Saccharomyces cerevisiae S288C: one gene and its partner. The gene in region 1 interacts genetically with each later gene. Each region holds a gene or a part of one and is shown on either strand. Other genes may lie near its edges.

Region 1 (5,011 bases):
GTTTTCTTACCATCAACAGGGTGTAACTGCATGGGGTGGTCCAAACTTCGATCGTTTGAGAAGATTCTATCATCCAGATGTAAGAAACTCTTCCGTCTCTCCGAATGAAAAGTACCTGGTCACTTTCTCCACGGAACCAATCATTGTAGAAGAAGATAACGAATTCTCTCCATTTACCAAGAAAAATGAGGGTCATCAATTATGCATCTGGGACATTGCTTCTGGTCTGTTGATGGCAACTTTCCCAGTGATAAAGAGCCCATATCTGAAATGGCCTTTAGTTAGATGGTCTTATAATGATAAATATTGTGCTCGTATGGTTGGAGACAGTTTAATAGTTCACGATGCTACTAAAAACTTCATGCCATTAGAAGCTAAGGCTTTGAAGCCTTCTGGTATTAGAGATTTCTCATTTGCTCCAGAAGGTGTTAAATTACAACCATTCAGAAACGGTGACGAGCCTTCTGTTTTATTGGCTTATTGGACTCCTGAGACTAATAATTCCGCTTGTACTGCTACCATTGCTGAAGTTCCTCGCGGTAGAGTGCTAAAAACCGTTAACTTAGTTCAAGTCTCCAACGTAACTCTGCACTGGCAAAACCAAGCTGAGTTCCTGTGCTTCAATGTCGAACGTCACACAAAGTCTGGTAAGACTCAATTCAGTAATCTACAAATTTGTAGGTTGACTGAAAGAGATATACCAGTTGAAAAGGTTGAATTGAAAGATAGTGTCTTTGAATTCGGTTGGGAACCCCACGGAAATAGATTTGTTACAATTTCTGTTCATGAAGTAGCTGATATGAATTATGCTATCCCAGCAAATACAATCAGATTTTACGCTCCAGAAACTAAAGAAAAGACTGACGTAATTAAAAGATGGAGCTTGGTCAAAGAAATTCCAAAAACTTTTGCCAACACTGTTTCTTGGTCTCCAGCGGGTAGATTTGTGGTTGTAGGTGCTTTAGTGGGTCCAAACATGCGTAGATCAGACCTACAATTTTACGATATGGACTATCCAGGTGAAAAGAATATTAATGACAATAATGATGTTTCAGCTTCTTTGAAAGATGTTGCTCATCCTACCTACTCTGCGGCTACTAATATCACTTGGGATCCATCTGGTAGATACGTTACCGCATGGTCAAGTTCTTTGAAACACAAGGTGGAGCATGGTTACAAAATTTTCAATATTGCTGGTAACTTAGTTAAAGAAGACATCATTGCTGGCTTCAAGAACTTTGCCTGGAGACCAAGGCCAGCTTCCATTTTGTCTAACGCCGAAAGGAAAAAGGTTAGGAAAAACTTGAGGGAATGGTCTGCCCAATTCGAAGAGCAAGATGCAATGGAAGCTGACACCGCCATGAGAGATTTGATTCTACACCAACGTGAATTATTGAAGCAATGGACCGAATATAGAGAAAAAATTGGCCAAGAAATGGAAAAATCTATGAATTTCAAAATCTTTGACGTTCAACCAGAAGATGCCAGCGATGACTTTACCACCATCGAAGAGATAGTTGAAGAAGTTTTGGAAGAAACAAAGGAAAAGGTCGAATAAATTTCATGAACTTACGGGCTTGTATGTAAACTAACAACAATATCTAGTATAAGTATGAGAATTAGTCTAATATTCATAAATACTACAATAGGCTCTATTATCTTTGTAATCTGCAGGGGTCGCTCTCCTCGTACAAAATTATAAAAGGGTCCTGCGTCCTTTTCTAGTTGCACTTTTCTTTTTTTGTTCTCCGAGAATTTCTTTTTACTGGGCACAATTTTTCCTCTTTTCTTTTTGTTTTAGGCATTATAAAGAAGAAAAATTGGCTTAGAGAGAATATACTTGCAAATTGAAAACTATAGTCACTGTGAGAGATTGGACTAAAAAGCGCAAATTTGAGATAAAGTGGGATCTTCCTGATATTAGCTGTCGTTACTGGTTTTAGCACGAGTTACCGACTATTTTGCGTTTTTCTTTTAAATTATTTTGTTGTCCCTCTTTATCTTTTGCACTGACGCTTTATTAGCCACTAATTAGAGTATCCAGACATTCTTTTTGAGATCACTACTACTTAATTGAAGAAAACATAACCTATTGATATGTCCACCCTTTTTCTGATTGGAATACACGAGATTGAGAAATCTCAAACAATTGTACAGAATGAACACTATTTTGATAGAGTGATTGAGCTTCAAGATTTGGATTCTCTGATGGTAGCATTGTATAAGGACAGAGTTTCGCCTTTTCCAAACGTCCATAACTTTGAAACGGGCGTATCTATAGTTCTTTATGACCCTTCAAAATTTCAATTATCTGTGCGACAATTGGATGTTCTATTCAAGCGATTTTTCCCATCTTTCAATATTTCTGCGATAGATCATACACGAGAGGAAAACCTGCAACGTCTTGAATGTGTTGAGCGTGAAAATAGCATCTGTCGTAATAGAATAACGAGAATTAACCACTGGATGTATCACCATCATGATGATACTCCAGACGGTATTAACAAAAACAGCTATGGTACTGTAAATGGGAATTCTGTCCCCACTCAAGCATGTGAAGCAAACATTTACACTTTATTATTGCATTTGAATGATTCCAAGGCACAACATTTACGAAAGGCATCAGTGCCAAGGCTAATTCGCAACATCGAGTTTATGTCTTTTTTGTCAGATCCAATAGAAAAAATTTCTCAAGAGGGATCACATTATTGGAACATTCTATCAACTTGGGACTTTTGTGCTTTATCATTAAGCACTCAAGAATTGATTTGGTGCGGGTTCACGCTTATCAAAAAGTTATCTAAGGATGCAAAAGTACTCATTGCAGATAATAAGTTACTGCTACTACTATTTACTTTAGAATCATCCTATCATCAAGTTAACAAATTTCACAATTTTAGGCATGCCATCGATGTCATGCAAGCCACATGGCGATTGTGTACATATCTTCTTAAAGATAATCCTGTACAAACATTACTGTTGTGTATGGCTGCCATAGGTCATGATGTCGGTCATCCTGGGACTAACAATCAACTATTGTGCAACTGTGAATCAGAGGTTGCTCAAAATTTCAAAAATGTCTCTATCTTGGAGAATTTTCACAGGGAATTATTTCAACAATTGCTATCAGAGCATTGGCCTCAATTGCTATCTATCTCCAAAAAAAAATTTGATTTTATTTCCGAGGCTATTCTGGCCACAGATATGGCATTGCATTCTCAGTATGAGGATAGATTAATGCATGAAAACCCAATGAAACAAATCACTTTGATATCTCTAATTATTAAAGCTGCAGACATCTCTAATGTGACGAGAACCTTGTCAATATCAGCACGTTGGGCATACCTCATTACTCTCGAATTTAATGATTGCGCTCTTTTGGAAACATTTCATAAAGCTCACCGCCCAGAACAAGACTGTTTTGGCGATTCATACAAGAATGTTGATTCTCCGAAAGAAGATTTGGAATCAATTCAAAATATTTTGGTGAACGTAACAGACCCTGATGATATTATCAAAGACCATCCGCATATTCCAAACGGTCAAATATTTTTCATTAATACGTTTGCTGAAGTATTTTTCAACGCATTAAGTCAAAAATTCTCAGGATTAAAATTTTTAAGCGATAATGTCAAAATCAATAAAGAATACTGGATGAAACACAAGAAACCACAATAGCAAGAATATCAAAATTTCTTGTACCATTCATTGTATAAACATATAAATATATACATTTACTACTAGTATATTTCCTTTTGTGAAGTATTTGTGCTAAAATTCATTACCCATTTTATTTTTTTTTCAAATATGCGTTCTTCCTTTAATATTGTATAATAATAACCCAGTTGATTATGGCTATTGTCTGTTTTAAGTGATATATATATATATATATAGATACATACATTAAATTTATTTTTCTTTGATTAAATTAATGTTTTTTAGTATAGTGATACATATTTCCCGAGTTAAAAGTTAAGTAAATAGTTTTATGCCATTAAACGGTGCAAAAACAGGTGTAATCTAAAATATTAAACTCCATAAAAGAAAACGTTAAAATTACAAAATAAATGAAATATGTTCCCTGTGTTGGTATATGCAAAGTAAATAAAAATTAAATCTTTATGCAACGTCAAGACAATCAACTTTATTATGCCAGATTTAATAAGCAGATCTATCAATTAAATCACGTTCTTTGTAATCAATAACGATTCCAAAAGCCTTCAACAATTTTCTCCTTGCACCCAAGGCAAGAACGCCTTTTTTTTCTAAAGTCTCGTCATCTAAGTAAATCAATTCGATCCACGGGGTTCCGCTTAAGGCATCTGAATACTTGTGTAGTCTTAACGATTTTAACCACATGGGTATATTTTTTAGTAGCTTGGGGTCTGTCAAACTCTTTGGATTCATCGAAGAGTTACTCGATAAAGGAGTGTTTCCGTTAGATGATGTAGATGTCGATGTGGCACTTGTAGGACCAGCATTAGGATGCGTAATGGTATTATTGAACACGTTCTGGTTGGACTTATTCAAATCAGTTCCTGATGGTCTTGAAGTATTCGAAAAATATGAGGTGGTATTATGCAGAGGATGATGCAATGAATGATGGTGATGAGAATTGTACTCATTTCCCATGTTAGACCTTTTCTTTGGTTGGAAAAAAGAATGGGAACTTGAGAGAGAGTGAGAAAGATAGTTGGGATTCTCTGATGGCAACTTTTTATATTTGGTACTGTTACCGTTGTTGAATTGTTTCTGGACAGGAATGAGATTTGGGCTTGAATTAACATGAGGCTCAGCCGACTTGGACCTTTGACTAGCGTCGGTGATGTTGTCATATATGGGTTGGCTAATTGGTATTGAATGTGGCTGAGGGGACCAATTTTGATACAACAAGTTATCGGTATTTTCAGGGTCATTAGTTATAGGACTTGAAGAAAAGACTGAATCAATATTCAAAATTTGTGTGTCATCCCTATTAGGTATAGGTGATGCAATTGCAGGTAGCGGTGGG
Region 2 (4,139 bases), on another chromosome or scaffold:
TTCAAGACCAGTTCGCAAAGCTGGGTTGTGAAAGTCCCAGAACATGATCAACAGCTTAATACGTTTGAAAAACGTTATGATGAACTCTTTGATGCTCAATTTAATAAACTAGAATTTTTTAAAATAAGAATGAAAAAATTGAAAAAGAATAAGCCAATTGAGAAAAAGAACTATAAAATATGGTGTCTAGAAAAAGAAGACCTAAAGGATTTGGTATGGGATCCTCTGAAAAGAATTTGCAATCATTCTAGGTATGCAATATTTGAGCATGTTACCATAAATAGGGAGGCCTATTCGATCAAACCATTAAGGTTAACTTTTCAAAAATTAGATTCCGGCTCCCTTGACCTGATCGATAATCAAAAAAAGACGTTTGGTAGTATAAAGCTTGCAATGAGTATGCCAGATGTAAAAAAAACTGAAAATCAGTCAATTGAAGAAAGTGAAAGACACGATGAAACTGCTATTGAAACCCAAGAATTTGATGAAAATGATTGTCTTTCATCTAAGGCGGATATTAATACATCATTAGCTCCTCAAAAGAGATCTTTCATCGATAATGAACTAATGTCCATGTTAGTCACCAAAAAAAAAATAAAGAAGGACAAGGATGTTAGTGACACCGGTATATCTTCCACTTCATACTTGATAAATTCTGGGACATATGCAAATTCTCATATTGAAATTCCTACCTCTAATTCAGTTTACAATGGAAAGGAAGATTGCTCATTTAATAACTACTCAGTAAAGCATTCAATATTGGAAGAAGATATTGAGAATAAATGCATAGCCGTAAATGAAAACAAGGTGATTGAGAACCAAAAGGTAATTCAGTCATTATGTAAAAATTCCCATCTAGACCTTATCGAACAATCTTACTTTGGCGAATGCGATTTCATTATAAACCATTCAACATGTGTATATAAAATTCAGGCGAGCCGATTTATGCAACTCAGAAATAACGGCTCATTGCATTACGATAAAGCGGTAAACGATCTTTTAACTGAATTTCAGAGAGTCATTATAATTGTGGAGTTTTCTGAAATAATACAAGACGTTGATCCTGATCTTTTCTGGAAAATCAAACTTTATTTATTGAATTCACGTGTTGATGTTTTTTTCATTCATGAGACTACTGACTTTTTTATTGATTGGATGAAATATTTCATTGCAAGATGGGCCTTTTCATATAACGATGAGAAAGAAAAAAATATTGCAAATGCCGATATTCTTCTAGATTTGGGATTTAACATCCTCTTAGTACGGAAAATTTTCCAGACATATAGTCTCGAAGAATTTTTTATGGCAATAATAAAGGAAGAAAGCAAAGCTGTTAAAATGCTTACGGTTTCACAAATGACTCGCCTGAAGAAGTTATTAACCTTAGAATGGTAAATCCAGCAAGGATCGTTACCCGGTAAACTATTTATACTACGCCTGCCTCTTTCGTTCTTCGACTACATGCTACAGTTAGTAAATTCAACCAAGGAAAATGTATTTATTAACATGAACTAGCCACCTAATTAACCCTTACCTTATTTTTTATACCCTTGGATCATCGGAGTATCTGTAGATCATATGTTAACGTATGTATAATATTACATCTGTCACAATAAACAACCCGAAAAAAATACCGCACGGAAAATGAGTTACTGATTAAGATGCACTTTTTGGTGAGGGTGCGTGACTTGAAACTAAAAATTACCAATAGTCAAACCCTTTCCATTTTCGAGGGAAGCAATATCTGAAATTTATATTTTTAGAAATTTCCAAGAGAAAGTGGCTTTTAACGAGGTTCTTCTTCTTCATCCCCTTTTTTACCAATATTCCTTTTTATGGTTGTATTCGAAATAACTATACTTGGGGCCAATGGAGGACCCACCGAATACGGAACACAGTGTTTTATACTTAAGCCTGCTAGAACAGAGGATCCAGAATTAATAGCTGTAGACGGTGGTGCAGGAATGTACCAGCTACGGGAGATGTTGGTCCAAGGGCGAAATGAAAATGAAGGTGATGATGAGCTTGTTCCAAGCTTTTATGAACATGATCGAGAGCCAATAGAGTTTTTTATTGATTCCAAACTGAACATACAAAAGGGATTATCCAAGTCCTTGCTACAATCATTAAAGAGGCAGGGAGAGCATTTTGAAAGCGCCAATACAATGAAGAAAACTTACGAGGTTTTCCAAGGAATTACCGACTACTACATTACCCATCCCCATCTGGACCATATTAGTGGGCTGGTAGTAAACTCCCCCTCAATATATGAGCAGGAAAACAGTAAAAAGAAAACTATTTGGGGATTACCGCATACTATTGACGTTTTGCAAAAGCATGTCTTTAATGACTTAATATGGCCAGATTTAACGGCAGAACGTTCAAGAAAATTGAAGCTAAAATGCTTGAATCCGAAGGAAGTTCAAAAGTGCACTATCTTTCCTTGGGATGTAATACCGTTCAAAGTTCATCATGGGATAGGCGTCAAGACTGGCGCGCCGGTATACAGCACCTTCTATATCTTCAGAGACAGGAAAAGCAAAGACTGTATAATAGTTTGCGGAGATGTTGAGCAGGACCGCAGAGAATCTGAAGAATCTCTACTTGAAGAATTTTGGTCTTACGTTGCTGAAAATATACCGCTTGTGCATCTCAAGGGTATATTAGTCGAATGTTCATGCCCATTATCTTCCAAGCCCGAGCAATTGTATGGTCATCTATCTCCAATATATTTAATCAACGAATTATCCAATTTGAACACTTTATACAACAGTAGTAAGGGATTAAGCGGTTTGAATGTTATCGTTACTCACGTTAAGTCAACACCTGCTAAAAGAGACCCAAGACTAACCATACTCGAAGAGTTACGATTTTTAGCTGAGGAGAGGAACTTAGGAGACTTGAGAATATCTATTGCGCTAGAAGGCCACACTTTGTTTCTATAATGTACACAACGTCAATAACATAATACTACGTAGATGAAAAGCGGAAAAATTCATTACCCGGGAGCAAGCAAAATACTAGTAGTAACTAATGAAACTTCTTTCCATTATTATTGATGAGTTAACTTATGTAGACTCATCTTTGAATCCCCTATCCCAACATAAGTCCCGGAATGGAACTCCGTAGTTTTTCTAGACAGCCTGATGGCATACTTGCTAACCCAAGATTGGGAAGGGAGGAAGTATTGGAAGGTGAACATCCGCAAGATGCTAGATTAGCCCGACAAAGCATTTGGTTGAGCCCAAGTTTAATTGCGGAGTATATACAGCTTTTTTTCAATTTTATTATAGGAACTATAGGACTGTCTCTTGCTATTAAATTCATTTTGATGATAAGAAACGATGTTAACTTAAAACTGGAGCATAACGTGAGGGAAGAATTAGATAAAATTGCAACTTGCAAATCAAGGTATTTTGAAAACCAGTGCGAACCTCATATGAGGGTTCCAGCATTGGAGGTACGTTGCAATGAATGGTCAAAATGTATGAACAAGGAAATAGTGTCTGGCTCCGATTACCAATGGGCTAAAGCATGGGCTCGTACTCTGGCGGAGGTAATAAATGCTTTTTTTGAAGCGTTCAGTATACGATCTTTCCTTTTCATTTTAATTAGCATAATAGGTATAATATTTGTTACCAATACGAGTTTCGGATCATACAGGGTTTATCTCAATAATAAAGATACAAAATCGGTTCGCCATGCATAGTGTATATAACTTAATCTAATCTGCACATTTATATTATTTAGATCCATACGTCGATGAGGATATGCGCAGGAAAGACATAAAGGAATATTGTTATTTCAAAGATTTTCTCCACTCCTTAAACCCGTTCGATAATATATGTTCTCCATCAATCAAACCTGAATATTCCTCATCACTTTCTTCAATTTCGGATAATCTTAGGTGATTATTTTCGAAAACCAACTTAAATGCTCTTATTTGAGAATGAGGATCCTCATCTCTTGGTATCATTTTCAAAAGCCACTCAGTAAGGAGACCATACCATTTAATGGCTTCTAAACATGCACTTCCAACTTGTGGATTATTGTTCTTTAATAAAACAGGTACTTCCTCCGTTGAAAACTCTTCCACAGTTTTTAATACATAATGGTCGTCTTTAAAACCATATATGATC

The links. Genes that interact genetically often act in the same process or in processes that back each other up.
Region 2: mutations in PDE2 (region 1) and PDE1 impair growth when combined (synthetic growth defect), as found in Saccharomyces cerevisiae (8 studies listed by BioGRID, with this or other methods).

The regions. Positions count from the first base shown.
Region 1 is NC_001147.6:1,011,908-1,016,918, reverse strand, and holds PDE2 (3',5'-cyclic-nucleotide phosphodiesterase PDE2), read left to right. Parts: upstream 1-2,097; coding exon 2,098-3,678; downstream 3,679-5,011. Other genes in the region: PRT1 (translation initiation factor eIF3 core subunit b), read left to right, coding at 1-1,558; VTS1 (Vts1p), read right to left, coding at 4,159-5,011. UniProt on the Saccharomyces cerevisiae protein: Controls the level of cAMP in yeast cells, together with the low-affinity cAMP phosphodiesterase (PDE1).
Region 2 is NC_001139.9:33,818-37,956, forward strand, and holds PDE1 (3',5'-cyclic-nucleotide phosphodiesterase PDE1), read left to right. Parts: upstream 1-1,835; coding exon 1,836-2,945; downstream 2,946-4,139. Other genes in the region: ZIP2 (Zip2p), read left to right, coding at 1-1,395; BRR6 (Brr6p), read left to right, coding at 3,116-3,709; RAI1 (decapping nuclease), read right to left, coding at 3,800-4,139. UniProt on the Saccharomyces cerevisiae protein: Controls the level of cAMP in yeast cells, together with the high-affinity cAMP phosphodiesterase (PDE2).